4 linked regions of the Struthio camelus genome follow. The protein of the gene in region 2 binds, or shares a complex with, the protein of the main gene of each other region. Links are inferred from orthologs where the notes say so. Each region holds a gene or a part of one and is shown on either strand. Other genes may lie near its edges. The genes, in order: GTF2H4, POLR2E, PFDN2 and UXT.

What was found.
Region 1: POLR2E (region 2) and GTF2H4 share a complex: the UniProt entries of both Homo sapiens proteins name them as parts of the TBP-based Pol II pre-initiation complex. The link is inferred for Struthio camelus from reciprocal best matches to the Homo sapiens genes POLR2E and GTF2H4.
Region 3: POLR2E (region 2) and PFDN2 share a complex: the UniProt entries of both Homo sapiens proteins name them as parts of the PAQosome complex. The link is inferred for Struthio camelus from reciprocal best matches to the Homo sapiens genes POLR2E and PFDN2.
Region 4: POLR2E (region 2) and UXT share a complex: the UniProt entries of both Homo sapiens proteins name them as parts of the PAQosome complex. The link is inferred for Struthio camelus from reciprocal best matches to the Homo sapiens genes POLR2E and UXT.

What each region holds. Positions count from the first base shown.
Region 1 is NC_090977.1:635,854-643,778, reverse strand, and holds the start of GTF2H4 (general transcription factor IIH subunit 4), read left to right. Parts: upstream 1-4,924; 5' UTR 4,925-4,938; intron 4,939-5,863; 5' UTR 5,864-5,935; coding exon 5,936-6,066; intron 6,067-7,352; coding exon 7,353-7,457; intron 7,458-7,925. Other genes in the region: VARS2 (valine--tRNA ligase, mitochondrial), read right to left, coding at 95-192, 721-787, 1,645-1,757, 2,398-2,498, 3,149-3,377, 3,613-3,822. UniProt on the Homo sapiens protein: Component of the general transcription and DNA repair factor IIH (TFIIH) core complex, which is involved in general and transcription-coupled nucleotide excision repair (NER) of damaged DNA and, when complexed to CAK, in RNA transcription by RNA polymerase II.
Region 2 is NC_090967.1:7,260,370-7,267,966, forward strand, and holds the start of POLR2E (DNA-directed RNA polymerases I, II, and III subunit RPABC1), read left to right. Parts: upstream 1-4,589; 5' UTR 4,590-4,741; coding exon 4,742-4,798; intron 4,799-5,232; coding exon 5,233-5,407; intron 5,408-5,965; coding exon 5,966-6,081; intron 6,082-6,547; coding exon 6,548-6,628; intron 6,629-6,853; coding exon 6,854-6,912; intron 6,913-7,100; coding exon 7,101-7,179; intron 7,180-7,597. UniProt on the Homo sapiens protein: DNA-dependent RNA polymerase catalyzes the transcription of DNA into RNA using the four ribonucleoside triphosphates as substrates.
Region 3 is NC_090971.1:436,064-442,665, forward strand, and holds PFDN2 (prefoldin subunit 2), read left to right. Parts: upstream 1-3,908; 5' UTR 3,909-3,962; coding exon 3,963-4,034; intron 4,035-5,168; coding exon 5,169-5,257; intron 5,258-5,332; coding exon 5,333-5,456; intron 5,457-5,796; coding exon 5,797-5,976; 3' UTR 5,977-6,100; downstream 6,101-6,602. Other genes in the region: NIT1 (deaminated glutathione amidase), read right to left, coding at 1,220-1,495, 1,981-2,106, 2,401-2,534, 2,617-2,720, 2,898-3,158, 3,250-3,471, 3,745-3,746. UniProt on the Homo sapiens protein: Binds specifically to cytosolic chaperonin (c-CPN) and transfers target proteins to it. Binds to nascent polypeptide chain and promotes folding in an environment in which there are many competing pathways for nonnative proteins.
Region 4 is NW_027182705.1:18,384-25,717, reverse strand, and holds the start of UXT (protein UXT), read left to right. Parts: upstream 1-4,329; 5' UTR 4,330-4,458; coding exon 4,459-4,526; intron 4,527-6,741; coding exon 6,742-6,823; intron 6,824-7,334. UniProt on the Homo sapiens protein: Involved in gene transcription regulation. Acts in concert with the corepressor URI1 to regulate androgen receptor AR-mediated transcription. Together with URI1, associates with chromatin to the NKX3-1 promoter region.

The sequences.
Region 1 (7,925 bases), on a different chromosome or scaffold from region 2:
GCTCCCGTGTGCTCCGGCGCGCCCCACGCGTGTCGCGTGTGCTCCCGTGTGCTCCGGCGCGCCCCACGCGTGTCGCGTGTGCTCCGGCGCTCACCGCTGCTTCCAGGCCCAGACCTCGGCGAGGAACTCGGAGCGCGTCAGGTCCTGGCGCCGCAGCCCCCGGCGCTGCCACAGCCACCGCTCCACCACCGCCTGCGCCGCGACACGCGGGGACACGGGGGGACACGGGGAGGTGACGCGGGGTGACACGAGGGGAGGTGACGTGGCGGGGGTGACGCAGCGGGGGGTGACACGGCAGGGGGTGACGCGGGGGTGACGCGGCGGGGGGTGACGCGGCGGGGGGGTGACGCGGCGGGGGGTGACGCGGGGGGGGTGACGCGGGGGGGGTGACGCGGGGGGGTGACGCGGGGGGGGTGACGCGGCGGGGGTGACGCGGTGGGGGGGTGACGCGGGGGGGGTGACGCGGCGGGGTGACGCGGGGGGGGTGATGCGGCGGGGGGTGACGCGGCGGGGGGTGACGCGGCGGGAGGTGACGCGGGGGGGTGACACGGGGGGGGTGACGCGGCGGGGGGTGACACAGCGGGGGGTGACACGGCAGGGGGTGACGCGGGGGTGACGCGGCGGGGGGTGACGCGGCGGGGGGGTGACGCGGCGGGGGGTGACGCGGGGGGGTGACGCGGGGGGGTGACGCGGGGGGGGTGACGCGGCGCGCGCCCTCACCTGGGTGGCGATCCCGGCGTGGTCGGTGCCCGGCACCCACAGCACCGTCCAGCCCTGCATGCGCCGCCTGCCACAGCGCCGTGTCCCCGCGTGTCCCCCCCGCGTGTCCCCCCCCCGGCCCCCGGGACCCCCCAGCATCCAGGCGCACCCGGAGACCCCCCCGGGGACCCCCCCAGCACCCTAGGGTGCCCTGACACCCCCCCCGGGACCCCTCCCAGCACCCAGGGCCCCCCACCGGGGGGGCCCTTATAAGGGCAATTATATGACCCCCCACAGCACCCACGGGACCCCCCCTCAGCCCCACGGGACCCCCTGAGCACCTGGGGCACCCCAAGTCCCCCCCCAGCACCCTTGGGACCACCCCCCAACCCCACGGGACCCCTCCCAGCACCCAGAGCCCCCCAAGACCCCCCCAGGGCACTTCCATGACCCCCTCCCTCCACCTTTGGGACCCCCCCCCAGCACCTGCAGGATCCCCCCCCAGCACCCATGGGACCCTCCAGGCACTTCCATGACCCCCCCAGCACCCTTGGGACCCCCCCCAGCACCTACAGGACCCTCCGGCCCCCCCAGCACCCAAGGGCACCCTGGGGACCCCCCCCCAGCACCTACAGGACCCCCCGGCCTCCCCCAGCACCCAAGGGCACCCTAGGGACCCTCCCAGGCACCCATGGGAGCCCTCAGGCACTTCCATGACCCCCCCCAGCACCCTTGGGACCCCCCCCAGCACGTACAGGACCCCCCACCCCCTCCACAGCACCCAAGGGCACCCTGGGGATCCCCCCCAGGCACCCGTGGGAGCCCTCAGGCACTTCCATGACCCCCCCCAGCACCCTTGGGACCCCCCCCAGCACGTACAGGACCCCCCCACCCCCCCCAGCACCCAAGGGCACCCTGGGGACCCCCCCCCGGAGCGGGGCTCACCAGCGGGCCAGGGCGTCCTGCAGGGCGACGGTGAGCGCGTGGCCCAGGTGCAGGGAGCCCGTGACGTTGGGGGGGGGCAGCACCAGGCTCAGGCGCCGCTCGGCCCCCCCGGCCTGCGGGGAGGGGTCGGCGCTGAGACCGGGCGCCGCTCGGCGCAGCGACGGGGGCCGAGACGGGACACGGTGCGGGGAGGGGGTCGGCGCTGAGACCGGGCGCCGCTCGGCGCAGCGACGGGGGCCGAGACAGGACGCTGCGCGAGGTGGGGACGGGGCTGAGGCCCGGGCAGCGTTCGGCGCAGCGATGGGGCCGAGGCTGGAGGCAGCTTGGCGCAGGGACGGGGGCTGAGGCCAGGCAGCACTCGGCGCAGCGATGGGGGCTGAGACTGGGCAGTGCTCGGCGCAGGGATGGGGCTGAGGCCAGGCAGCGCTCGGCGCAGCGATGGGGGCTGAGACTGGGCAGTGCTCGGCGCAGGGACAGGGGCTGAGACCGGGCAGCACTCAGCGCAGGGACAGGGCTGAGGCCGGGCAGCACTCGGTGTAGCGATGGGGGCTGAGGCCGGGTAGCACTCAGCACAGGGACGGGGGCTGAGACCGGGCGCCGCTCGGCGCAGCGATGGGGGCTGAGACCGGGCAGCACTCAGCGCAGGGACAGGGCTGAAACTGGGCAGTGCTCGGCGCAGCGATGGGGGCTGAGGCCGGGTAGCACTCGGCGCAGCGATGGGGGCTGAGGCCGGGCGCTGCTCGGTGCACTCACCGGGGGCCGGGGGGCGAAGAGCCCCCGCCGCTCCCACCAGCTGTACCAGGCCGCCTCCACGTAGCGGGGGCTGTAGGCGGGCGGCAGCGGCTCCTCCACCCCTGCCGCGGCCCAGGGCGTCACCCCGCCGGCCCCCGCGTCACCCGCCCGTCACCCTGCCAGCCCCTGTGTCACCCGCTCGTCACCCTGCGTCACCCCGCCGGCCCCCGCGTCACCCGCCCGTCACCCTGCCAGCCCCTGTGTCACCCGCCCGTCACCCTGCGTCACCCCGCTGGCCCCTGCGTCACCCGCCCGTCACCCTGCCAGCCCCTGTGTCACCCGCCCGTCACCCTGCGTCACCCCGCCGGCCCCCGCGTCACCCGCCCGTCACCCTGCCAGCCTCTGTGTCACCCGCCCGTCACCCTGCGTCACCCCGCCGGCCCCCGCGTCACCCACCCGTCACCCGCCTGTCACCCCGCCAGCCCCTGCGTCACCCGCCCGTCACCCGCCTGTCACCCTGCCAGCCCCCGCGTCACCCGCCCGTCACCCCCGCGTCACCCCACCTGATCCCCGTGTCACCCACCCGGCACCTGCGTCACCCTGCCAGCCCCCGCTGTCACCCGTGTCACCCCGCCGGCCCCCGCATCACCCGCCTGTCACCCCGCCTGACCCCTGTGTCTCCCCACCTGTCACCTGTGTCACCCCGCCGGCCCCCGCGTCACCCTGCCCGTCACCTCACCTGTTGCCCCGTGTCCCCCCCGCCCCCCCGTACCCTTCCGCCCGTCGGGGCCCAGCGACCCGCCGTACTCCAGCTGCGCCTTGGGGGCCCAGGCCTTGGGGGGGGCAGCCGGTGCCTGGGGGCCGCGACACGCTGCGACACGCCGCGACACGCCGTGACACGCCACGACACGCCGCGACACGCCGCGACCCGCCCCGGCCCCTCTCCACCTCTCCCAGTCCCCCCCAGTCCCTCTCCCACCCCCCAGTCGCCCCCCAGTTCCCTTGAGCCCCCCCAGTCCCCCCCAGTCCCTCTCCCACCCCCCAGTCGCCCCCCAGTTCCCTTGAGCCCCCCCAGTCCCCTCCCAGTCCCTCTCCCACCCCCTAGTCGCCCCCCAGTCCCCCCGAGCCCCTCCCAGTCCCTCTCCCAGGCCCCCAGTGGCCTCCAGTTGCCCCCCAACCACCCCAGCTTCATCTCCCAGTGCCCCCCAGTGCCCCCCAGTGGCCCCCCCGGCGCACCTGGGCCCCGGCGCCCCCCAGCTGCGCCCGCTGCTGCCGCCGCCGCTGCCGCCGCTCCTTGTGGGCCCGGGCCTGGAGCTGGGCGCCGGCGGGGGGCCCGGCGGCCCCCCCCCCGCTGCGGCCCCGGCCCCCCCCGGGCCCCCCCCGCGCCCAGGGGCCCGCTCCGCTGCCGGCGCCCCGCAGAGCCCGCGCCAGCGCCGGGGCCGCCATGCTGCCTGGCGGGCGGCGGGGCGCTGAGGGCCCAGGCGCCCGGGTGGGTGCCCCCCTCCCCCCCACCAGCGAGGGGCCCAGGCGTCCGGGCACCTCCCCCCGCCCAGGGACCCCCGGGTGCCCTCCCCCACGAGGGGCCCAGGCATCCAGGTGCCCTCCCCCGGGGGGCCCAGGCGTCCGGGCACCTCTCCCCCCAGGGACCCCCGTGTGCTCCCCCCCGGAGGGCCCAGGCGTCTGGGTGTTGCCCCCCCCCCAGGGACCCCCGTGTGCCCTCCCCCCAAGGGGCCCAGGTGTCCGGGCAGCTCCCCTCCTGGAGACCCCGGTGACCCGCCCCCCACGAGGGGCCCAGGTGTCCGGGTGTCCCCCCCCCCGGGGACCCCCTTGTGCCCTCCCCCCTGGGGGGCCCAGGCGTCCGGGCAGCTCCCCCACCCAAGGGACCCCGGCGTCCCCTCCCCGCCCCAGGGGCCCAGGTGTCCGGCTGTCCACCCCCCCCAGGGGCCCAGGTGTCCGGGTGTCCCCCCGCCAGGGGCCCAGGTGTCCGGCTGTCCACCCCCCCCCCAGGGGCCCAGGTGTCCGGGTGTCCACCCCCCCCCCCAGGGGCCCAGGTGTCCGGGTGTCCACCCCCCCCAGGGGCCCAGGTGTCCGGGTGTCCCCCTCCCCAGGGGCCCAGGTGTCCGGCTGTCCACCCCCCCCCCAGGGGCCCAGGTGTCCGGGTGTCCCCCCCCCCAGGGGCCCAGGTGTCCGGGTGTCCACCCCCCCCCCCAGGGGCCCAGGTGTCCGGGTGTCCCCCCCCCAGGGGCCCAGGTGTCCGGCTGTCCCCCGCCCCCCCCCAGGGGCCCAGGTGTCCGGGTGTCCCCCGCCCCCCCCGGGGGGGCCCAGGTGTCCGGGTGTCCCCCCCCCAGGGGCCCAGGTGTCCGGGTGTCCCCCGCCCCCCCCGGGGGGCCCAGGCGTCCGGCTCGGGCTCTCTCTCACCTTGGCGCGCGCGGCGGTGGCGGCAGTGCCGGCGGGGGCGGGGCCCGGCGAGGAGAAGGGGGCGGGGCCCGGCGCGGCCCCACGTGGTCCCGCGCGGGGCAGGGCGGGAAGGGGGCGGGGCCGAGCCGGGAGCCGGGGCGCGCGGTGAGACGGGGGCGATGGGGGGGGGGCGGCGGGACCCCGGGTGCCACCGTGTCCCCGACCCCGGTCACCCCGTGTCACCCCGTGTCACCCCGTGTCACCCCGTCCCCCCTCCGTCACCCCGTGTCACCCCATCTCCCCCGGATCACCCGGTGTCACCTCGTTCCCCCCCCCCGGGTCACCCAGTGTCACCCCATCTCCCCCTCCCGGTCACCCAGTGTCACCTCGTCTCCCCCCCGGGTCACCCAGTGTCACCCCATCTCCCCCTCCCGGTCACCCAGTGTCACCCCGTCCCCCCCCCGGGTCACCCCGTGTCACCCCATCTGCCCTCGGTCACCCAGTGTCACCCCATCTCTCCCTCCCGGTCACCCAGTGTCACCCTGTTCCTCCCCCCGGATCACCCCATGTCACCCCATCCGCCCTCGGTCACCCAGTGTCACCCCATCTCCCCCTCCCGGTCACCCAGTGTCACCTCATCTCCCCCTCGGTCACCCCGTGTCACCCCATGTCCCCCTCCCGGTCACCCAGTGTCACCTCGTCTCCCCCCGGGTCACCCCGGGTCACCTCATGTCCTCCTTGGGTCTCCCCCCCCCAGTTCACCTGGTGCCACCCCATCTCCCCCTCCCGGTCACCCAGTGTCACCCCGTCCCCCCCAGGTCACCTGATGCCACCCCCCTACGTCACCCAGTGTCACCCTGTGCTCCCATCACCCAGCGCCGGTCACCCTGGTCATCCGGTGTCACCTTATCTCCTCCTTGGGTTTGCCCTCCGGCTCACCTGATGTCACCCTCCCCGGTCACCCAGTGTCACCCCATCCCCCCTCCCCGTCACCCGGTGTCACCCCGTCCCCCCTCCCCGGTCACCCGGTGTCACCCCCCCATCTCCCGCCGGGACTCACCGCGCCGCGCTCTTTCTCCCCTCCTGCCAGGTGTCCCCGTCGGCCGTGTCCCCGTCGGCGGTGGCGGGGTGCCCGTCGGCCGTGTCCCCGCCGCCCCCCGCCATGGAGGGGCCCCCCCGGGTGCCGCGGGGGCAGCTGCAGTGCAAGAACCTGCCCGAGTTCCTGCAGGGGCTCAGCCCGGCCCTGCTCGACCGCCTCTACGGCCACCCGGCCACCTGCCTGGCCGTCTTCCGGTGAGACCCCCCCCGGGCACCCCCCCCGGGCACCCCGACCCCCCCCCCGGGCACCCTGACCCCCCCCAGAGCACCCCCACCCCGTCCCGGGGCACCCCGACCCCGGCCCGGCCCTGCTCGACCGCCTCTACGGCCACCCGGCCACCTGCCTGGCCGTCTTCCGGTGAGACCCCCCCCCGGGCACCCCCCGGGGCACCCCGACCCCCCCCCCGGGCACCCCGACCCCCCCCCCCGGGCACCCCGACCCCCCCCAGAGCACCCCCACCCCGTCCCGGGGCACCCCGACCCCGGCCCGGCCCTGCTCGACCGCCTCTACGGCCACCCGGCCACCTGCCTGGCCGTCTTCCGGTGAGACCCCCCCCCGGGCACCCCCCGGGGCACCCCGACCCCCCCTCGGGGCACCCTGACCCCCCCCCGGGCACCCTGACCCCCCCCAGAGCACCCCGACCCTCCCCGAAGCACCCCAACCTCCTCCAGGAACACCCTGACCCCCTCCCAAGCCCATCCCAGACCCCTTGACCCCCCCCCCAAGGCCCTCCGATCCCCTCGGAGCCCCCTGACCCCCCCCAGGAGCCCCCTGAGCCCCCCATAGGCCCCCCCACTCCCCCTCAGGCACCCCGACCTCCCCCCAGGAGCACCCTGACACCCCCTCGGGTGCTCCCCCCCACCCCCCTCGGGCACCCCTGACACCCCCTGGAGCACCCCAACCCCCCCCGCCCGGCCCCCCACTCCCCCCCAGGCACCCTGACACCCCCAGCAGCACCCTGACCCCCCCCAGAGTCCCTTGAGCCCCCTGACTCCCCCCCAGGAGCACCCCGACCCCCCCCCTCGGAGTCCCCAGAGCCCCCTCAGCCCCCCAGGAGCACCCTGACTGCTCCCCTGGAGCCCCCCGACACCCTTAGGGGCCCCCTGACCCCCCCAGCCCCCCAACTCCCCCCCAGGAGCATCCTGACACCCCGCAGGAGCACCCTGAGCACCCCATGGGCACCCTGACCCCCCCAGGAGCACCCTGAGCCCCCCATAGGCCCCCCCCACCCCCGCAGGCACCTCGACCTCCCCCTTAGGGGCCCCCTGACCCCCCCCCAGGAGCACCCTGACCCCCCCCAGCCCCCCAACTCCCCCCCCAGGAGCATCCTGACACCCCGCAGGAGCACTCTGAGCACCCCATGGGCCCCCCCCAGGCGCTCTGACCTCCCCCTTAGGGGTCCCCTGACCCCCCCCCGGGCGCCCCCGACCCCCCCGGGCGCCCCCGACACCCACCCACGCCCCCCCCCCCCGCGGCGCAGGGAGCTGCCGGGGCTGGCGCAGGCCGGGGTGCTGCGCATGCTCTTCGTGGAGCAGCCCCTGCCCCAGGCCGCCGTGGGTCTCTGGGTCAAGAAGGAGCACAGCAGGTGGGGCGGGGGCTCCCGCGGGGGCCGGGGGGCTCCCGGCGGGGTCCCGGCGGCGGGCTGGGGGTCCCGGGGGGCTCCCGCGGGGGCCGGGGGGCTCCCGGCGGGGTCCCAGTGGCGGGCTGGGGGTCCCAAGGGCACCCATGGGTGAGCTGGGGGTCCTGGGGAGTACCTGAAAGATGGGCTGGGGGGGGTCCCAGGGGCACCCATGGGTGGGCTGGGGGTCCTGGGGGTGCTCATGAGTGAGCTGGGGGGGTCCCAGGAGGCACCCATGGGTGGGGTGGGGGTCCTGGGGCTGCCCGTGGGTGCTAGACCATGTCTGAGGGTGGGCTGGGGGTCCTGGGGGAAACCCGTGGGTTCCAGGGGACATCTGAGGGTGGGCTGGGAGGTCCCGGGGGCACCCGAGGGGGGGTGGCGGGTGGCAGGGGACTCTTGTGGGTCCCAGGGGGCACCTGGGGGTGGACTGGGGGT
Region 2 (7,597 bases):
TCCTCTCAGCCCCATGGGCTGTTCCAGCAGTGCCAGGCAGGTTGGGGGGTTTCTACAACACCCTCTTCCCCACTCACTTGCCCAGGGTGCCTCTTCCCGCAGGCTGCGCCTTCATCCACGTCCAGAGCGGAAGGGCATTCTCCCCATTGACATCGATCTTACTGAACATGTCAAACTTCACTCCGTACTTTTCAGCGAATGCCTTAATCTGAGCATTGTCCCCTGGTTCCTGAGGAAGGCAAAAGACAGGGCACTCTAACATAAGCCTCTTCCCCTTTCAGCACAGAAACTCCATGGCTCTGCTGGCATGCGGATGTTGTATGGGCTCCCTCTCGTGTACTGGGGAGGCAAGCAGACCCCAGCTAGCCAAGCGGATCCTCAAGACCAAGAGCTGCCCTTGTGTACGGCTCCAGGGCAGCCTTCCTGCTGCTCCCACATACCTGTTTTCCAAACTGGTTGCAGGGAAAGGCCAGGATGCGTAAACCTCTCTCAGCGTATCTGGCGTACAAGTCAACGAACTGAGTGTAGTTTACATCCGTTTTGCCTCATTTTGAAGCAACATTGGTGATGATGCAGACAAAGCCCCTGGAAAGAAAAAGAATCAGAAGGAATTCCCGTAACAGGGCTAGGCAAGCCCCTCACGTATGCTCTCTGTGAAGGGTGCAGCAAGAAGGGAAGGCAGCACAAAAAACAAGCTGCTTTCTCTGTAGCCTTTCTCATGTTATGCAAGCTCCCTTTGTGGCTTAGTCACTGCTGCCTGGTGCAGCTACTAAGGACCTTTGAACAGCACTCCCCCTCGAGGGCTCAAGGGCACCACCTCCCCCCTCCCATGCTTGTGTACTGCGTTATTAAGGACAAGCCGATTCCAGGCCGTTCACTCCTACCTGTATTTCTCCAGAGAGACAGTGTTGCCGTCTATGTCTTGGGCATGGAAGTCATAGATTGATTTGGCAGTGCGCCAGTCATCTACTTGGGCACACTGCAAGAGAGCCGAGAGCTGCTGTCAGCTTCCCTCCCCAGCAATCCCAGCAGCACGTCCTCTCCAGCTTTAGGTGAGCTCAGCTCCAACAGGAGACCAGCAGTGAGCCATGTCACAGCAATAGGTTGTGCCTGTGCCCCCATGCTGATGGCTCGCTGTCTCTGTCCCTCCCATCCATAGCAGCTCCCCTCTCTACTCGTTGCTCATGTCAGGACTCGTGAAGCAGAAGCTGAGCGTACCCAGGAAGGCAAGTGTCACACACTCTGGTGGCTCCCTGCTGTCAGGTGCCCCAAATGAGCCACGTGCTCCATGTCAGCTGGTCCACCCACAGGGTCATGATAATCCAGCTAAGTTACAAGTTTCCCAAACTACAGTTTCTTAGGTCTTCTTTTCTCCTACGCAGCACAATGTAAAACTTGCAGTAAAACTTGCACGTTATTGATGTTGCTCCCTGCTAGGTTTAACAACCCCATGATTCATCCTGGGTGCTTCAACTGCTGGAGGAGCACCCCAGGCAGGGCTTCGGTTTCCAGAGCCTCCCCCCACCACACCTCTCCCAGCATTTCCTCACCCTGTGCAGTGACGGCTGGACAAGCACAAAATTAGAAGCTTAAGCACAGATCCTTGCTGTACGTGCCCCAGGCCCTCATGGAGTCCCAGGCAGGGGCCATCCTGGAGGCCTCCCCCCCGTCGGAGGAGCGGGTCTCCCGCCCGGCCCAGGCAGGCCGCGAGCACCGTCCCCAGTCACCACCAGTTTGTGCCCTGGCCGGACGGGGGGAGCAGGCCAGGCCCTGGCAGCGCCTGAGCACGGCTGGCTTCTGCTCCTCGCTCCCTCCCTGAGGCAAGAGCTGCTCCCCGAGGAGGAGGAGGAGCAGGAGCAGGAGCAGGAGCAGCAGCAGCAGCAGCAGCTCCTGCCGCACAACGGAGCGCTGCAGCCCGGCCCGCGCCGCCGCCCACCCGGCTCCCGGCGGGTTCATCCAGCCGGATTCGGTCCCTTTTTTTTTTTTTTTTTTTGGGGGGGGGGGAGGGGAGCTGAGCTGGCAGCTGCTCCGGGCCCACCTCCGCGCACGGGCAGATCGGGGCGGCCGCCGGGCTGCGCAGCGCTGCCGCCAGGCGCGTGGCCCGCGGCGGCCACCGTCCCGCGCGGGGGTCCGCCAAAGGCGGCCGCCACTCTGCCCTGGGGATAGGCCGTCTCTATGGTCACCTCACTGAAGGGCCGTTACGCGCTTCGCCTCCTCCAGGGGCTGAGGCGGGTGGACACCGACATCGACACCGTGCCCGGCGCCGCACCTCCCCCCCCCCCGCCGGCACCGCCGCGCTCACCATGTTCCCGCTCAGCCGCCGCGCCGCCACCACCCCGCACAGCAGTGCCCGCCGTGACAAGTGACCCAAAACCATCGCGCCGCCACCGCCTCCCGCCCTGAGGCCCGCCCCCTCCGGCGGCTCGGCCAATCAGCGCGCGGGGAGGCGGCACGGCCCAGATGATGGACGGCGCAGCTGGCCAATCGCAGAGCAGGCAGGGGGCTGTTTGGCCGCAGCGGTTGTTTATCGGTTAGGCGGGACGGACCACGAGGCGGGGGGGGGGGGGCAGGGACGGACCACGAGGTGGGGCGGGGGGTCCCCAGTCACGTGGCCGCGCCGGTGCTCGGCGCTGCAGGCGCCGCCGCGGGGCTCCCTTGGGCCTGGGGCGCCAGCGGTGGCCCTCCCGCGGCACATGGCCCGGGGCTGCTTGGGTCTCGGTGCGGGGATGGTGGCGTCCATCACGGTGCAGGGTTGGAGCATTGCTCACAATTCTTGGTTGGAGCATTGCTGACGGTGCAGGGTTGGAGCATTGCTGATGGTGCAGGGTTGGAGCATCGTTGGCGGTGCATGGTTGGAGCATTGCTCGTGGTGCAGGGTTGGAGCATCGTTCACAGTGCAAGGTTGGAGCATCGCTCGTGGTACAGGGTTGGAGCATCGTTCACGGTGCAGGGTTGGAGCATCATTGGCGGTGCATGGTTGGAGCATTGCTCACAGTGCATGGTTTGGAGCGTCACTGGTGGTGCAGGGCGGAGGCTGCCGATCACTGCACCCTTGGGCTGCACTGCCTGGGTGCCTGCAGCCACCTCTTTGCAGCTGGGTGCAGGCTGCTACAGGTGCTGCCTGCTCGCGGGCCAGTGGGTTTGGGGAACGTCCTTGGGAAGCAGTTTCTAGCCCCGTGACTGAGCTGTGGCTGTGGGGCTGCGGTGTGACGGCAGACGGGAACATTTTCCTGTGGCTACTCAATGCCTGGATCCAGGAGGGCACCGGGAGCAGAAGAGGCTGCAGATAAAAGCATCTCCCGCTCGCCACAGTCTTGGCTGCTTTTGGTCTTGGTCTTGGGTTGTGGCTCCCCACGGACAGCCGCTGACGCTGCTGGCTGTCAAGGACAATTAGCTGTAGGCCGTTAACTTTAGACCAGCTCTTAGGAGTTAAAATCCCTCGTCTTGCTGCTGAGTGGAAACTGGAAAACTTGAAAGGTCCTGCCGAAACGAAGGGAGGCACAAAACACGGCTGAGCCCACGCGGCGGGGCTGAGCTCCTGTCCTGCCCATGTTCTTTGAGCCAATTTGTAGGGCAACGCAAGCACTGAAAAACGTGAAAGAAAGGGGGGAAAAAAGGGGCTCTCCAGCTGGGATAATTTGGGAGAACACGAGATTAAAGGAGGCAGATCCCTGACCAATAGTTTGTGTCTTTTTTTAGTGCTTTGTTAGGCAGGATTAATGACGGCTTGTGATTAGAGTTAAAGGCGGCAGGAAAAGAGCCTCAGCAGGCGGATTGTTTGCAGAGGGTTGGATTTCTGTCTCTGCCAGTGAAGCTTGCATCTACGTTGAATAATATCCCCCTTCAAAGGAGTTTTCTACTTGATCTGTGTGCAAAATTGGTAGATACTGCTACTGACAGGTTGTGGTCTTTTGATGTGTCCTGGGCTGAGAAGCTCAGAGCTGTAATTCAAACTGGCAAAAAAATTGTCCCTCCGCCCTGCTGCAAAGAAGAGATGTCCTTTGCTGTGGCAGAGGAGGCCCCCCCACCCCAATCAGGGCCGTCCCCACCGGGGGTGTCACTGTCACGCGTCTGGGCTTGAGACTGCTCCATTGTGTTGCAAGAGGATTTGTTCTGTTTTTCTCTCCCCGATTCGTTCTTGCCACACCGTCCCCAGCTGCAGGGTGGCCGGGAGGGGTCAGGCATGGTGACAAATGGCCGCACAGGCCGCTGGGGGGACTGGGCAGCCCCCGGGCTGGGGCCTGGGCACGCAGAGCTGGTGGTCCCAGGCCCCCTGCCCTGCCCTAGAGCCTCTACTGTGCCAGGCCCAGGTCGCTGACCTGCCCCAGGACCCCCCCGCCCCAGACCCACCCCAGACCTGCCCCAAGACCCCCCTGCCCCAAGACCCCCCTGCACCAGGACCCCCTGCCCCAGACCTGCCCCAAGACCTCCCTGCTCCAAGACCCCCCTGCCCCAGGACCCCCTGCCCCAGACCTGCCCTAGGACCTGCCCCAAGACCCCTTGTTTCAGGGTCCCCTCCCCAGCCCCCCCCGGGGGCCCCCGCCCGCCAGGGGGCAGCAGCGGCGAGGCGAGGCGAGGCGGGGCGAGGCGGGCGGGACTACACCTCCCAGCAGCCCTTGCTCCCGAGGCCCCCGCGGCGGCCCCGGCGGCCGCCTGCAGCGCCGCGCGGCAGGCGCTTAAAGCGGGCGCCCCAGGGCCGGCGGGGGGCTTTCGGCGGCGGCAGCGCGCGTGCGCGAGGGCCATGGACGACGAGGAGGAGACCTACCGGCTGTGGAAGATCCGCAAGACCATCATGCAGGTGCGGGGCCGGGGCCTGGGGGACCGGCGGGCCGAGAGGCCCGGGGCGGGAGCCTGGGGGCGGCCTGGGCCTTGGAGGGAGGCTGGGGCCGAGCCGGGTGGGGGGAGAGGCGAGGCCCGGCCCGGCCCTCTGTTCTGCTCTCCTTGGGGAGCCATCGCGGCGGGGTCCTGGCGTTTGGGACTCTCTCGGGCCCGCCTCGGAGCGCTTGTCCCCCTTCTCCGGGGCGCGGGCAGGATTGCGCTGTGCTAAGAGCTGTACGGAGTTTTCGTGGTGGGGCTTGATGGTTCAGCAGTGCCTGGCGCTCTGGTGCGGGCTCCGGCAGCAGCAGGACTTGTGTTTGGAGCGCGAAGGGTGAAACGCTGCGTGTGGGAAGTGAGCGGAGCTGTGAACACGGGTTACCTGTTGTGTGTCTTAAGTGAGGATGTTCTCTGCAGCTTTGTCATGATCGGGGCTATCTGGTGACTCAGGATGAGTTGGATCAGACCCTGGAGGAGTTCAAGGCCCAGTTTGGGGACAAGCCTAGTGAAGGGAGGCCGAGGCGCACTGACCTGACAGTGCTGGTGGCTCATAATGATGATCCTACTGATCAGATGTTTGTTTTCTTCCCAGGTAAGTGTGACACAGTTACCATATGTGCAGTGAGCTTGGACTTCTCAAAACTGTTAACTCAGGCACCAAGGAATATCTGCTGCTGTTGCGTGTTACCTTTTTGCCTCACACTGATAGAAGCTGTGTGGAAGGGATGGCTTGGCTTTCTGAAAGCCTGATGTGACTGTGCTTCCCCAGCGCTCAAAAACTCACTTCTAATGAAAGCCAGTTCTTCCTGTTCTACTGGCATGAAGCCTTTCAGAAAGCTTATTCTGTCCTGCAAAATAAATATCTTGGTGTGGTAAGCTCCAGCTGGGTTTTCTTTATTTACACAACATGCCTTATTCCACTGGGTTTAACAAGGCAAAACATTCCATAAGTTTTGCTGTGTATGACTGCAGGGGTGACTTCTGCAGCTGGTAGGCTGGATGCAGAATGTTGTGCAAAAAGAAAATACATCACAGAGTAGAATGAATGAATATTTGTGCATAAGTGTATCACTGGCTGCAAAACAAAGGCTATTAGAATGTGGATTACTGAATGCATGTATCGTGATCATGGTACCTCCCTCACTCCTAGAGGAGCCCAAGGTTGGAATAAAGACAATCAAGATGTACTGTCAGAGGATGCAGGAGGAGAACATCACCAGAGCGTTGATTGTGGTACAGCAAGGCATGACTCCCTCAGCAAAGCAGGTACAGAGAACCCTTTTTAAAAAAAAAAAAAAACAACCTGTCTCACGGTCCAGAGGGCAATTGTAGACTATGGATGTTTTGCATGTTTGTTTTGCAGTGCTGCTTTAGATTAATAAGAATGTTGAATTTTATTTCTGAGAAAATGTTTCACTAAAACCTGTTGTCCCTTAACGCAGGGGACATGTCTTGCTTAACATGCAAATGTGTTTAACCAGAACAACTGGCTCTGATTAAAGAGAGCTTTCTAACTCTGGTTAAAGAAGAAGAGAGGGCCTACTGAGGTTTATGAGAGGAGAGGAGATACTTGCCAGCGGTGACAAGGTCCGTTAGCAGTTTGCTGTGTAGCTCTAACTGTGTGAGCACAAATGTAATGATATCCCTTGCAATGTGATGTTTATTGAGCGCAGGTAGGACTGACCTCGAGCAGTGCCCTGTGCTGCAGTCTGACATGCCTTTTCCTTTTCAGTCCCTGGTAGATATGGCTCCCAAATATATCCTGGAGCAGTTTCTGCAGCAAGAGCTCTTGATCAACATCACAGAACATGAGGTAAGTTGTGCTGGCAGTGGAGCAAAGGCGAGGCAACCAGTCTCTCTGCTGAGCTGCAGACCATCACCTAGCTTTTAGCGATCTTCTGTTTGGAAGGTCAGGCTGGGTGACACAGCAGTAGTTGTTCTAGTTTTGCTTACCCACATGTTCCTTGTCCTGCTGCTGTGAGGAGACTTTTGGTTTCTCTGGTTTTCTAATCTTGGAACGTCTCTCCTTTGTTTACAGTTGGTTCCAGAGCACGTGGTCATGACAAAGGAAGAAGTAACTGAGCTACTAGCCCGATAGTATCCTTTGTTTGTTCCTTCCCTCCCTGGGTGTGATTCATACTTGCTTTAAGTTGAAAATGAATACACCTCTGAGTGTGACAATGTACTAGTCGGTTCTAATAACCGTGCCCGTTCTTAAAACAAATGGGTACCTGAGCCAGTTGCTTATGCTGCTGATAGAGCTCTTCCTTGACTGTCCTGTGCAGTAAGCTGAGAGAGAACCAGCTCCCACGCATACAGGCTGGGGATCCAGTGGCCAGGTACTTTGGAATAAAGCGAGGTCAGGTAAGAGTGACACAAGCTGGTGACAGGCAGCAGTTCTCTATAGGCAGAGCTGTGATAGTAGGGGGTATTGATGATATTTCTGAACCCCAAGAGAAGGGAAGGGCCTTTCTTTCCCATGGGAAAGCTGTCGTGGTACAGAGACTTGTGTAAGCTGGGCAGGCTTCCAGCAAGGGGAGACAGCTGTGGCCATTGAATCCTCTGAGGACCAGCAGATGTGACTCCATTCCCAACCTTTGACTGCCCTGCACTTGAAGGTGGCACTTCTATGCTACGTTCCAGCCACAGGCCTGAAGCTTGGTGCCCAGTGTCTCTGTGGCTCCTGAGGGTTGCAGTGTTGCAACTGTTCTGTCTGGGTTTGAGTGTGTATGCGTGTCTGGCAGGGAAGCCCTGCTGGGGAAACTTGCCACCAGCTTCTCGT
Region 3 (6,602 bases), on a different chromosome or scaffold from region 2:
TGCTGCTTCCCTCCCCTCCCCTCCGCTCTGCTGCTGCCTGGCTCTGTTTCCTCGCAGCCCTGGCTCCTGCTGGCAAACTGGGTCGAAGCGAGGTGGTGCTGGGGAAGGCCTGGCTGGCCCCTTGCTGGTGCAGTCAGCCGAGCCTCTGCCTCGCTAATGGGGGCTGCACGTTTTGGGGGGCGGCAGCACATGCTGCTCCTTGGTCCACAGCCACCTGGCTCCTCCCAGGTCTCCAGAGGACTGTCACCTCAGGCCACTGAAATGGCTGCAATGGGCCCTGTCCTATTGCTCCCTGGCTGCTTGTGGTGGGTTCCTAGGGTGGTTTTTTTTTCCAACTTAGCTGGTTTTTGTGTTTCTTTTTTCCCCTGTTGCTGCTTGGCTGCAGGCTCTTTCCTCCTGCTCCTGCTCCAGTGTGTGCGTTGAGGGGTGAAGCAGGGGCATGTGAGGGCTTGTGCTTTGGGATGGGAGGACCACCATGGGGCAGCCCCCCCAGGACTGCTGTGGTGTGCATGTGGTTCCCCCTTCCTCCCCTGTGCGCACACACACCCCTCTGGTTACAGACAATTCTGGCACAACTTGGTGTAATTTCTGTGACTTCTGTATTTTTTAAAAAGTCAATATAACAGTCATATTCCCTGTGTAGCTTCCAGTTTTCTTGAAATAAACATCTACTGCAGTGCATGGCTCCTTCCTTGCGCGGGTGGCTGCCCTGTCAGGCTGGGTGCCCTGCTCCTCACCAGCCCCTGCAGGCACCTCTGAGGCAGGCAAGGGAGACAGGTGCTGGGAGCACCCCACATCTGGGGTGCTGCTTTGGGGGCTGCAGCTTGTAAGTGGCAGTGTGGAGGCTGCCTTCCCCCCCCCGCCCCCAGACTGAAAGGGGGGGGAAACATCCCCCGGCTCTGTTCCCTGTTCCCAGGGTACCCTGTAGCAGCCTGTGGAGAAACCAGGGCACCAGCACGTTCCTGCCTCTCCATGTTTCAGAGGCTCTCAAACAGAGCAGCTGCAGCCCTGCTCCACCTTCAGGTCAGGGGAAAATGGACGTGCGAGGCAGGCACCATTAGATTTATTGGGTGACAGGGTGGGGGGGGGCGGGTGCCCCAGCTCGCCTGACACTGGCCTTCTCATGCAGGAGAGCCCTGCTGCCAGCCCAGGGCCCCGGAGGTGAGTGGAGATCAGCCAAAATCACCGTGCTGAGAGGGTGCACAGGACAGGCAGCGCCTCAGGGTGCTGGCCCTGTGCCTACTGCCACAGTGCCGTAGAGGTCGGGCCGGCGGTGGCTGTGCACCGGGATCTCCCGGCGGACGCGGTGCAGGTAATCCAGATCGATCTCAGCATAGCACAACCCTGGGCCCTCCTGGCACTGGGCCACCACAGTGCCCCAGGGATCCACCACCAACGAGTGGCCGTAGGACGTCCGGCGCTCATGGTTCTTGCCTGTCTGGGCAGCTGCCACCACGTAGCACTGGCTCTCGATAGCCCGGGCCCGCAGCAGCACCTGCGATGGGGGGACAGGCCTTCCCAGTGGCACCAGCCCAGAGCTGAGTGCCCCACTGGGGACACGGCACAGCCCTGTGGGTGCATCCCTGAGAGGGGCCTCATGGCAGGAAGGGACTAAGCTCAGATAGGCGGTGCCCCCTGGCCCTGGGCTTTAAATAACAAAAAGATGAGGCTTTTTATCTTAAATTTGCCTCCCTTTGGCCCCCTCAGCTGCACCCAGGATGCTTGGTCATGGCTGAGTTTCCTCCCTGCTTGCCTGCTCAGGCTGTTGGAGATGAGCAGGGTGAGGGCTCAGTCCTGCTGCAACAGCCAACAGGGCTGGGGTGTCCCCAGACCCACAGGGGGACAAGGAGGGGCTGTGCCAGGCAAAAGCCACCTGGATCAGGGCAGGGATGGAACTGAGGCCGAGAGGCGTGTTGGAGCGCAGCTCCCTGGCTAGGAAAGCCAGGGGGAGGATTGGGGGCAGCAATGGGGCATGCTCACCTCCCAGTGTGCGGAGCCTGTGGTGACGGTGAAGGCCGAGGGGTAGGTGAGGATCTCGGCCCCAGCCTGCCGCAGCGCCAGCGAGATCTCGGGGAAACGCAGGTCGTAGCAGATGGAGAGGCCGAGCTGGCGGGGACAGAGGAGAGGACGTGAGCGAGGACACGGCGCCTGGGGACAGGCACCCAGTCCTGTTAGGGGCTCTGGGCAGGGGAATGGGGTAGGTGGGACCAGGACAACATGGAGGAGATGCAGATGAGGGACAGCGTCAGCTGCAGATGGGATGCAGCGTTTGAGCTGGGACTTCTGCTAGGGCAGAAGAGAGGGCAGGAAGGGGAACCCCTCTCCCTGCAGGGACAGGGCGCCGTACAGCCTTGCGGCATCTGAAGATGGCCGTGCCCACCTTCCCAGCTGCCCCCATACCTTCCCTGCCGGCGTGCTGACCGGGGGCACGATCTCGGGGCCGGGGTTGGTGAAGCTGCTCTCCTTCATGGACACGCGTCCCTCCAGCTCCACATCACACAAGTGGGTCTTCCTATATGCAGCCACACGGCAGCCTGGGGACAAGAGGGAGCAAGGTCGGGAGGTCTGCAAGGGCTGAGGGACCCCCGGGCAGCGGGCAGGGCCAGGGGCTCTCACCTGCAGGGTCCAACAGCACGTGGCAGTTGTAAATGCGCTGCGTGGTCGGCCAGTCCCGGCCTCGCTCGTGGAACCCGCCCAGGGACAGCCACACGCCGCAGTCCCTGCACAGCAGGGACATGGGGGTCACCTGGTGCAGGGCCAGGCCCCCCCCCAGTCCCCTGGCCCTGGCTCTGCCTCCCACTCGCGCTTGGAAAGGGGAACCTGGAACCATTCTGCAGGATGGGATCAGCCACACTGGGACTGGCCCCGGCAGGAACGGGGTCTCCCTGCAGAAGTACCTGGCCAGCCCAGCGTAGCGCCCCAGGAGATCGCCATCCAGGCTCTCAGCGAGGCTGAGGGTCTCCGCGGTGTTGGAGCCGATGTAGTCAAAGCCCTCGGGGAGGAAGACGAGGCAGGCGCCGCGCTGCGCCGCCTCCCTCACCAGCCCCGCACAGGCGGTGAAGTTCAGCTCCTTGTCAGGCGTGGACGTGACCTGGCACACAGCGATGAGCGGCTTGAGCCTGGGTGAGCCCGCCATGGCTCCGGGCAGGCACAGGGAGCTGTGGCAGAGCATGGCTGTCAGCCGTGGGGCCGGTGATAGCCCCCCAGGGCTGGCACGAGTAGCCCCACACGCATGGTCCCGCTTGGCACCTGTTTGTGGCAGGGTGAAGGCTGGAGCTGGGCAGCTGCCTCTGGGCGCCCAGGAGGTCTTGGCACAGGAAGCGCAGCAGGATGCGGGGTGCCGTGCTCAGCCTGGGGGCAGGAGGGAGCTGAGACCCTCCAAGTGAAGGTGGTCCCGCACCCGTCCCCGGGGCACAGCGAGGGAGGTGGCTTCTTCCCCCACTGCCTGGGGACATGGCTGCCATCTCGCTCCTGTGCAAGGGGGACGCGGCCCCGAGGGGATGGCGCCAGGCCCCAATCACGGGCCTGCAGGCAGCTGGCCCCGGCCCCCCACGGCACCCCAAACTGTCGAATCCTCTCCAGCCCCCCCAGCTCCTCAGCACCCCAAACGGCCCCCAGGCCCCACCAACACCCCCAAACGGCCCCCAGCTCCTCAGCACCCCAAACGGCCCCCAGGCCCCACCAACACCCCCCCAAGGGCCCCCGCCCGGCCCTCCCAGCCCTCCAGGTGCCCCCAGTCCCTACATGCCCTGTCCGCGGCTCCAGCCCCGCGACGCCGCCGGGGCCGGGCAAAGTCCCCCCCGTCGGGGTTGCCCGCAGCAAAGATGGCGCCAACACCACCCCCGCCTCAGCGGCCAACGCCGCTGCCCTCTGTCAAGATGGCGCCATGCCTCGCCCCGCCCCTTCCGGCCGGCCCCGGAAGGGGCGTGGCCCGCAGCGCGTGCGCAGCGCGGCGAGGGAAGATGGCGGACAGTGCGAAGGGGCGGCCCGGGGCGGCGGCGCCGCCCGGTGGCAAAGCGCTGACGGCGGAGCAGGTACCGGGCGGGGGGGGTGTCCGGCAGCCCGGGCGGGACCGCGGCGCGGGGGGGCAGGGCAGAACCATTGTGCTGGTGGGGGGGTCCTGGCAGGGCTATGGCTAGGGAGGGGGCTGGGCATGACCATTGCGTGGGGTCTGGGCGGCACCATGGCACAGGCCGGGGGGGGGTCTGGGCGGCACCATGGCACAGGCCGGGGGGGGTCTGGGCGGCACCATGGCACAGGCCGGGGGGGGGTCTGGGCGGCACCATGGCACAGGCCGGGGGGGGTCTGGGTGGCACCATGGCACAGGCCGGGGGGGAGCTGGGCGGCACCATGGCACAGGCCGGGGGGGAGCTGGGCGGCACCATGGCACAGGCCGGGGGGGGTCTGGGTGGCACCATGGCACAGGACGGGGGGGAGCTGGGCGGCACCATGGCACAGGACGGGGAGGAGCTGGGCGGCACCATGGCACAGGCCGGGGGGGGGTCTGGGTGGCACCATGGCACAGGACGGGGGGGTCTGGGTGGCACCATGGCACAGGCCGGGGGGGGTCTGGGTGGCACCATGGCACAGGACGGGGGGTTGCTGGGCGGCACCATGGCACAGGATGGGGAGGAGCTGGGCGGCACCATGGCACAGGCCGGGGGGGGTCTGGGTGGCACCATGGCACAGGCCGGGGGGGGGTCTGGGCGGCACCATGGCACAGGCCGGGGGGGGGGTCTGGGTGGCACCATGGCACAGGCCGGGGGGGGTCTAGGCGGCACCATGGCACAGGCCGGGGGGGGGGTCTGGACAGCACCATGGCACAGGATGGGGGGGTCTGGGTGGCACTATGGCACAGGCCGGGGGGGGTCTGGGTGGCACCATGGCACAGGATGGGGGGTCTGGGTGGCACCATGGCACAGGCCGGGGGGGGGGTCTGGGTGGCACCATGGCACAGGCCGGGGGGGGTCTGGGCGGACGGGCGGGTCTGGGTGGCACCATGGCACAGGACAGGGGGGGGGCTGGGCGGCACCATGGGGCTGGAGGGGACTGGGCAGCACTATTGCACAGGGCGGCGGGGGCTGGTAGGGGCTGGGCAGGGCCAAGGCATTGGCAGGGAAAGGGACGTTACCAGCCCCGGCACTGTGTCCCCATCGCTGTCCTCACAGGTGGTGGCCAGGTTCAACCGCCTGCGGCAGGAGCAGCGGGGCCTGGCCTCGAAGGCGGCCGAGCTGGAGCTGGAGCTGAACGAGCACAGGTGGGAAAACGAGGCCTGGGGTGGGGGGGCCGCGGTCGCAGGGGCTTCACCGCCTCACTCTCCTCTTCCTCCCAGCCTGGTGATCGAGACGCTGCGGGAGGTGGACCCCACCCGGAAGTGCTACCGCATGGTGGGCGGCATCTTGGTGGAACGAACCGTCAAGGAGGTGCTTCCGGCTCTGGAGAGCAACAAGGAGCAGGTGACCGGGCTGGCCTTCCTTTCGCCTTGGTGCCCTCGTGGCAGGGTCCCAGGCTGGTCACGGCCTGCAGAGCCTCCCCCAGGGCTTGCAGGGCCCAGCTCTCTCCTCCAGGCAGGAAGTTGCTGCCCACAGGGATGCACAGGACAGATCATGGCCAGGGCAATTCGCCATGGGGTGATTCGGGAGACACTGGGTTGTCCCGCTCACTGCGAGGCCCTGAGTGCGAGCCCTCATCTGCGAAGCTCTAGCCCCCGTCTTTGTCTCGCTTCAGAGACCTGGGAGCGAGGACTGAGCCAGTCTCCCTGCTGCTTTGCCCTGACTCATCTTTACCCCTTTCCAGATCAGCAAAATCATTGAAACGCTGAACCAGCAGCTGCAGACAAAGGGCCGGGAGCTGAACGACTTCCGGGAGAAGCACAACATCCGCCTCATGGGTGAGGACGACCAGAAACAGCCCCCCAAGGAGAATACCGAGGGGGCTGGAGCCAAGACCAGCTCGGCCGGGGTCCTGGTCTCATAGGAGCTCATTCGCACTGTCCCTAAGGACTTTCCTCCTGTCTTAGCCTCCCTTCCCCTCTCTGTTATTATTTAGTGTTGTTCATGTCATATTTTTGTTAAATACATGTGAGATTTTTTGGTCACGAGATGAGTGTTAGCACGGATGGTGGCATGTTCCAGGGGCCTTGGGGTGAGTGTCTTCTGCCCTATGGGCGGATCCGCCCTGGACATGGAGAAAGGAAAAGAGGAGAGCAAGCCCAAGCAGGGGAGGCAGCTGGGGTGTCCGTTTGTGCTGGGACCCTGGGATGGGGATGGCCAGGTCTGGCCAAACTTTCCCACGGCGAGGCTGGTGGTGGGGCTGTCTAGGGCCACCGTCCCCTCCCGCGCCAGGGGAAGTGGCGCTTCGGGGACCCTTCTTGGTATGTTTGCGGCCTGCTGCCATCTCCCGATGGCCTGTGAGCACCCGCCGAGGAACGCGGTGCCGTGAGTCCTCCTTCCTGGCAGGCCTCTCTCTGCGTGACTGCAGCCAGCCGTTGTTTTCTTGCCGTTGTTGCCAACGAGCGCTCCGTGGCGCTTCCCCGGGGGCCGTTCCCAGCCCGCGCCGCTTTCCGCAGTGAGTGAGCGCATTCCTCCCCAGGCAGCGCGCGG
Region 4 (7,334 bases), on a different chromosome or scaffold from region 2:
TCCGGGAAAGGGGCACAGGCGTCCAGAGAAGGGCCGAGGCCTCCGGGGAAGAACCCAGGCATCCGGGGAAGGGGCCCAGGCGTCCGGGAAAGGATCTAAGCATCCAGGGAAGGGGCCCAGGTGTCCGCGGAAGGGGCCCAGGTGTCCGGGGAAGGGTCCAGGCTTCCGGGAAAAGGGCCCAGGCGTCCGGGGAAATGATCTAAGCATCCAGGGAAGGGGCCCAGGCATCCGGGGAAGGGGCCCAGGTGTCCGGGAAAGGGGCCCAGGTGTCCAAGAAGGGGCCCAGGCATCCAGGGAAATGATTTAAGCATTTGAAGAAGGGGCCCAGGCGTCCAGGGAAAGGGGCCCAGGCGTCCAGGAAAATGATCTAAGCATCCAGGGAAGGGGCCCAGGTGTCCGGGAAAGGGACCCAGGCGTCCAGGGAAATGATCTAAGCATGTGAAGAAGGGGCCCAGGCATCCAGGGAAGGGGCCCAGGTGTCTGGGAAAGGGACCCAGGCATCCGGGAAAGGGGCTCAGGCATCCAGGGAAGGGGCCCAGGTGTCCGGGAAAGGGACCCAGGCATCCGGGAAAGGGGCTCAGGCATCCGGGGAAGGGGTCCAGGTGTCCGGGAAAGGGGCCCAGGTGTCTGGAGAAGGGGCCCAGGCATCCGGGAAAGGGACCTAAACATCCAGGGAAAGGGGCCCAGGCATCCAGAAAGGTGCGCAGGCGCCCAGGAAGGGGGCCCAGGTGTCCGGGACAGGGGCTCAGGCATCCGGGGAAGTGGCCCAGGAGTCCGGGAAAGGGGCCCAGGCACCCAGGGAAGGGACCTAAGCAACCGGGGAAGGGGCCCAGGCATCCGGGAAAAAGGGCCCCGGCATCCAAGAAAGGGGCCCAGGCATCCGGGGAAATGATCTAAGCATGTGAAGAAGGGGCCCAGGCATCCGGGGAAGGGGCCCAGGCGTCCGGGAAAGGGACCTAAGCATCCAGGGAAAGGGCCCAGGCATCCAGGAAAAGGGCCCAGGCATCCGGGGAAGGGGCACAGGCGTCCAGGAAAGGGGCCCAGGTGTCCAGGCAAAGGGCCCAGGCATCCGGGGAAGGGGCCCAGGCGTACGGGGAAATGGGCCCAGGCGTCCGGAGAAGGGCCGAGGCCTCCGGGGAAGAACCCAGGCATCCGGGGAATGGGCCCAGGCATCCGGGGAAGGGGCCCAGGCATCCGGGAAAGGATCTAAGCATCCAGGGAAAGGGCCCAGGCATCCGGGAAAAGGGCCCAGGTGTCCAGGGAAGAGGCCCAGGCATCTGGGGAAATGATTTAAGCATCCGGGGAACGGTCCAGGCCTCCGGGAAAGGGACCTAAGTGTCCGGGGAAGGGGCCCAGGCGTCCAGGAAAAGGGCCCAGGTGTCTGGGGAAGGGGCCCCGGTGTCCGGGAAAGGGACCTAAGCATCCAGGGAAAGGGCTCAGGCATCCAGGAAAGGGGCCCTGGCATCTGGGAAAGGGCCCAGGCATCCGGCATAAGGGGCCCAGGCGTCTGGGGTAAGGGGCACAGGCGTCCGGGGAAATGATTTAAGCATCCGTGCAAGGGGCCCAGGCCTCCAGGGAAGGGGCCCAGGTGTCCGGGAAAAGGGGCCCAGGCGTCCGGGGAAATGATCTAAGCATCCGGGGTAAGGGGCCCAGGCATCCGGGCAAGGGGCCCAGGCGTCCGGGAATGGGCCCAGGCGTCCAAGAAAAGGGCCCAGGCATCTGGGAAAGGTCCCAGGCATCCGGTAAAAGGGCCCAGGTGTCCGGGGAAGGGCCCAGGCATCCGGGAAAGGATCTAAGCATCCAGGGAAAGGGCCCAGGTGTCCGGGAAAAGGGCCCAGGCGTCCGGGGTAAGGGGCACAGGTGTCCCGGAAAGGGGCCCAGGCATCCGGGTAAGGGGCCCAGGCATACGGGGAAGGGGCCCAGGCGTCCGGGAAAAGGGCCCAGGCATCCGGGCAAGGGGCCCAGGCATCCGGGGAAATGATCTAAGCATCCAGGGAAGGGGCCCAGGCGTCCGGGAAAGGGACCTAAGCATCCAGGGAAAGGGCCCAGGCATCCAGGGAAGGGGCCCAGGTATCCAGGAAAAGGGGCCCAGGCATCCAGGGAAGGGGCCCAGGCGTCCGGGAAAGGATCTAAGCATCCAAGAAAGGGGCCCAGGTGTCCGGGGAAATGATCTAAGCATCCAGGGAAGGGGCCCAGGTGTCCGGGAAAGGGACCCAGGCGTCCGGGAAAGGGGCTCAGGCATCCGGGGAAGGGGCCCAGGTGTCCGGGCAAGGGGCCCAGGTGTCTGGAGAAGGGGCCCAGGCGTCCGGGAAAGGGACCTAAACATCCAGGGAAAGGGGCCCAGGCATCCAGAAAGGTGCGCAGGCGCCCAGGAAGGGGGCCCAGGTGTCCGGGACAGGGGCTCAGGCATCCGGGGAAAGGGCCCAGGCATCCGGGGTAAGGGGCCCAGGCGTACGGGGAAATGGGCCCAGGCGTCCGGAGAAGGGCCGAGGCCTCCGGGGAAGAACCCAGGCATCCGGGGAATGGGCCCAGGCATCCGGGGAAGGATCTAAGCATCCAGGGAAGAGGCCCAGGCATCTGGAGAAATGATTTAAGCATCCGGGGAAGGGGCCCAGGCGTCCGGGAAAGGGACCTAAGCATCCAGGGAAAGCGCCCAGGCATCCGGGGAAGGGGCCCAGGTGTCCGGGAAAGGATCTAAGCATCCAAGAAAGGGGCCCAGGTGTCCGGGGAAATGATCTAAGCATCCAGGGAAGGGGCCCAGGTGTCCGGGAAAGGGACCCAGGCGTCCGGGAAAGGGGCTCAGGCATCCGGGGAAGGGACCTAAACATCCAGGGAAAGGGGCCCAGGCATCCAGAAAGGTGCGCAGGCGCCCAGGAAGGGGGCCCAGGTGTCCGGGACAGGGGCTCAGGCATCCGGGGAAAGGGCCCAGGCATCCGGGGTAAGGGGCCCAGGCGTACGGGGAAATGGGCCCAGGCGTCCGGGGAAGGATCTAAGCATCCAGGGAAGAGGCCCAGGCGTCCGGGGAAATGATCTAAGCATCCAGGGAAGGGGCCCAGGTGTCCGGGAAAAGGGCCCAGGCACCCAGGGAAGGCACCTAAGCAACTGGGGAAGGGGCCCAGGCATCCGGGAAAAAGGGCCCAGGCGTCCAGAGAAAGGGGCACCGGTGTCCGGAAAAGGGCCCAGGCATCCAGGGAAATGATCTAAGCATGTGAAGAAGGGGCCCCGGCATCCTGGGAAGGGGTCCAGGCATCCGGGAAAGGGCCCAGGCGTCCGGCATAAGGGGCCCAGGCGTCCGGGAAAGGGGCCCAGGTGTCCGGGGTAAGGGGCACAGGCGTCCGGGGAAGGGCCCAGGCGTCCGGGGAAATGATTTAAGCATCCAGGGAAGGGGCCCAGGCCTCCAGGGAAGGGCCCAGGTGTCCGGGGAAAGGGGCCCAGGCGTCCAGGGAAATGATCTGAGCATGTGAAGAAGGGGCCCAGGCATCCGGGAAAGGGGCCCAGGCGTCCGGGAATGGGCCCAGGCGTCCAAGAAAAGGGCCCAGGCATCTGGGAAAGGTCCCAGGCATCCCGTAAAAGGGCCCAGGCGTCCGGGGAAGGGCCCAGGCGTCCGGGGCAAGGGGCACAGGTGTCCAGGAAAGGGGCCCAGGCATCCGGGTAAGGGGCCCAGGCATACGGGGAAGGGGTCCTGGTGTCCGGGAAAAGGGCCCAGGCATCCGGGCAAGGGGCCCAGGTGTCCGGGAAGGGGCCGAGGTGTCCGGGCAAGGGGCCCAGGTGTCTGGAGAAGGGGCCCAGGCGTCCGGGAAAGGGACCTAAACATCCAGGGAAAGGGGCCCAGGCATCCAGAAAGGTGTGCAGGCGCCCAGGAAGGGGGCCCAGGTGTCCGGGACAGGGGCTCAGGCATCCGGGGAAAGGGCCCAGGCGTCCAGGGAAGGGGCCCAGGTGTCCGAGGAAGGGGCCCAGGTGTCCGGGAGAGACCCAGGCATCCGGGGAAACGGGCCCAGGTGTCCGGGACACGGGCCCAGGTGTCCAGGAAGGGGCCCAGGCGTCCGGGGAAGGGCCCAGGCGTCCGGGAAGGGGCCCAGGTGTCCGGGGAAGGGGCCCAGGCGTCCGGGAAGGGGCCCAGGCGTCCGGGGAAGGGGCCCAGGCGTCCGGGGAAGGGCCCAGGTGTCCCGCCGCCCCCCCATCCCCCGTTAAGCCGAAACAACGTCGCGTTTCTCCCCGATTCCCCCCCAAAACCCACCGCCCCCCCCCCGGGCTCCCGCCGCCGGCGGCGGCCGAACCGCGGCGCGCCGCGATGACGTCACCGCGGGGGCGCCGGCCCGGCCAGGCGGCGCAGCCGAGCGCCGAGCGCGCCGACCGGCCACAGGCGCGCCCAGCCGCGCGCCGATAGGCTGTGGCGGGCGCGGCGCGCTGACGTCACGGCGCGCTGACGCGGCGGCGCGCTGACGTCACGGCGCGGCCATGGCGGCCGCCGGCAAGGTGCGGCGCTACGAGGCCTTCGTCAGCGACGTGCTGCAGCGCGACCTGCAGTGCGTGAGCCCCGCCCCCTCCCCCCTCGGCCCCGCCCCCTCCCCCCTCGGCCCCGCCCCCTCCCCTCGGCCCCGCCCCCGCACTCCCCCCGCCCCACCCCTTCTCTCCCCCTCCCCCTCGTGGGCCGCCGCGCCGCCCCCTCCCTCCTCACGGCGGATCGGCCACGCCCCCCCGCCCCCCTGGCCACGCCCCCCCGCCCCCTCCCCGGCCACGCCCCCTGCCCCCCCGCGCCGCTGCCCGCCCCCCCCCACCCCGCACAGCCAGCCCCTCCCCGCCCACGCGCTCTGGCCCCGCCCACGCGCTCTGGCCCCGCCCACGCGTTCTCTCCCCCCGCGCTCTGGCCCCGCCCACGCGCTCTGGCCCCGCCCACGCGTTCTCTCCCCCCGCGCTCCGGCCCCGCCCACGCGCTCTGGCCCCGCCCACGCGTTCTCTCCCCCCGCGCTCTGGCCCCGCCCACGCGTTCTCTCCCCCCGCGCTCTGGCCCCGCCCACACGTTCTCTCCCCCGCGCTCTGGCCCCGCCCACGCGTTCTCTCCCCCCGCGCTCTGGCCCCGCCCACACGTTCTCTCCCCCCGCGCTCTGGCCCCGCCCACGCGCTCTGGCCCCGCCCACGCGTTCTCTCCCCCCGCGCTCTGGCCCCGCCCACGCGCTCTGGCCCCGCCCACGCGTTCTCTCCCCCCGCGCTCTGGCCCCGCCCACGCGCTCTGGCCCCGCCCACGCGTTCTCTCCCCCCGCGCTCTGGCCCCGCCCACGCGCTCCGGCCCCGCCCACGCGTTCTCTCCCCCCGCGCTCTGGCCCCGCCCACGCGCTCCGGCCCCGCCCACGCGTTCTCTCCCCCCGCGCTCTGGCCCCGCCCACGCGTTCTCTCCCCCCGCGCTCTGGCCCCGCCCACGCGTTCTCTCCCCCCGCGCTGCGGCCCCGCCCACGCGCTCCGGCCCCGCCCACGCGTTCTCTCCCCCCGCGCTCTGGCCCCGCCCACGCGTTCTCTCCCCCCGCGCTGCGGCCCCGCCCACGCGCTCCGGCCCCGCCCACGCGTTCTCTCCCCCCGCGCTCTGGCCCCGCCCACGCGCTCCGGCCCCGCCCACGCGTTCTCTCCCCCCGCGCTCTGGCCCCGCCCACGCGCTCCGGCCCCGCCCACGCGTTCTCTCCCCCCGCGCTCCGGCCCCGCCCACGCGTTCTCTCCCCCCGCGCTCCGGCCCCGCCCACGCGTTCTCTCCCCCCGCGCTGCGGCCCCGCCCACGCGTTCTCTCCCCCCCGCGCTCTGGCCCCGCCCACGCGTTCTCTCCCCCCGCGCTCTGGCCCCGCCCACGCGTTCTCTCCCCCCGCGCTCCGGCCCCGCCCACGCGCTCCGGCCCCGCCCACGCGCTCCGGCCCCGCCCACGCGTTCTCTCCCCCCGCGCTCCGGCCCCGCCCACGCGTTCTCTCCCCCCGCGCTCCGGCCCCGCCCACGCGCTCCGGCCCCGCCCACGCGTTCTCTCCCCCCGCGCTCTGGCCCCGCCCACGCGCTCCGGCCCCGCCCACGCGTTCTCTCCCCCCGCGCTCTGGCCCCGCCCACGCGCTCCGGCCCCGCCCACGCGTTCTCTCCCCCCGCGCTCTGGCCCCGCCCACGCGTTCTCTCCCCCCGCGCTGCGGCCCCGCCCACGCGCTCCGGCCCCGCCCACGCGTTCTCTCCCCCCGCGCTCTGGCCCCGCCCACGCGCTCCGGCCCCGCCCACGCGTTCTCTCCCCCCGCGCTCTGGCCCCGCCCACGCGCTCCGGCCCCGCCCACGCGTTCTCTCCCCCCGCGCTCCGGCCCCGCCCACGCGCTCCGGCCCCGCCCACGCGTTCTCTCCCCCCGCGCTCCGGCCCCGCCCACGCGTTCTCTCCCCCCGCGCTGCGGCCCCGCCCACGCGTTCTCTCCCCCCCGCGCTCTGGCCCCGCCCACGCGTTCTCTCCCCCCGCGCTCTGGCCCCGCCCCCGCGCTCTGGCCCCGCCCACACGTTCTCTCCCCCCGCGCTCCGGCCCCGCCCACACGTTCTCTCCCCCCGCGCTCTGGCCCCGCCCACACGTTCTCTCCCCCCGCGCTCTGGCCCCGCCCACGCGTTCTCTCCCCCCGCGCTCTGGCCCCGCCCACGCGCTCCGGCCCCGCCCCCCGCCCCCCCATCCACATCCCACCTCCCGGCCCCGCCCCCGGCCGAGGCCCCGCCCCCGCTGAGGCCCCGCCCCCCCCCCCGCAGGCGGGTGCTGGCGCAGCGGGAGGCGGTGTGCGAGCAGCTGGCCCAGGTGCTGCAGCTGCGCGCCGCCCTGGAGCGCCTCCAGGTGGGCGGGGCCTCGGCCGAGGGGGCGGGGCCTCGGCCGGGAGGGGGCGGGGCCTCGGCCGGGTGGGGGGCGGGGTCAGCCCGGCTGCGCTGCCGGGGGCAGGGGGGGGTGCTGCTGCTATGGGGGGGGGCTGGGGGCGGGGCCACGATGGGGGCGGGGCCACGATGGGGGCGGGGCCACGGGGGGCGGGGGGTGTGGGGGGAATTGGGGGGGATTGGGGTCTTGGGGGGGATTTTTGGGGGGGGAATTGGGGGAGTTTGGGGGTCCGGAGGGTGATTTTGGAGGAATTTGGGGGTCTGGGGGGCGATTTTGGGGGGAGCTGGGGGGATTTGGGGGTCCGGAGGGCGATTTTGGGGGGAGTTGGGGAGATTTGGGGGAGAATTTGGGGGATTTGGGGGTCTGGGGCAGATTTGGGAGTCTGGGGGGGATTTTGGGGGAATTTGGGGGTCTGGGAGGCGATTTTGGGGGGAATTGGGGGGATTTGGGAGTCTGGGGGGATTTGGGGGGGAAT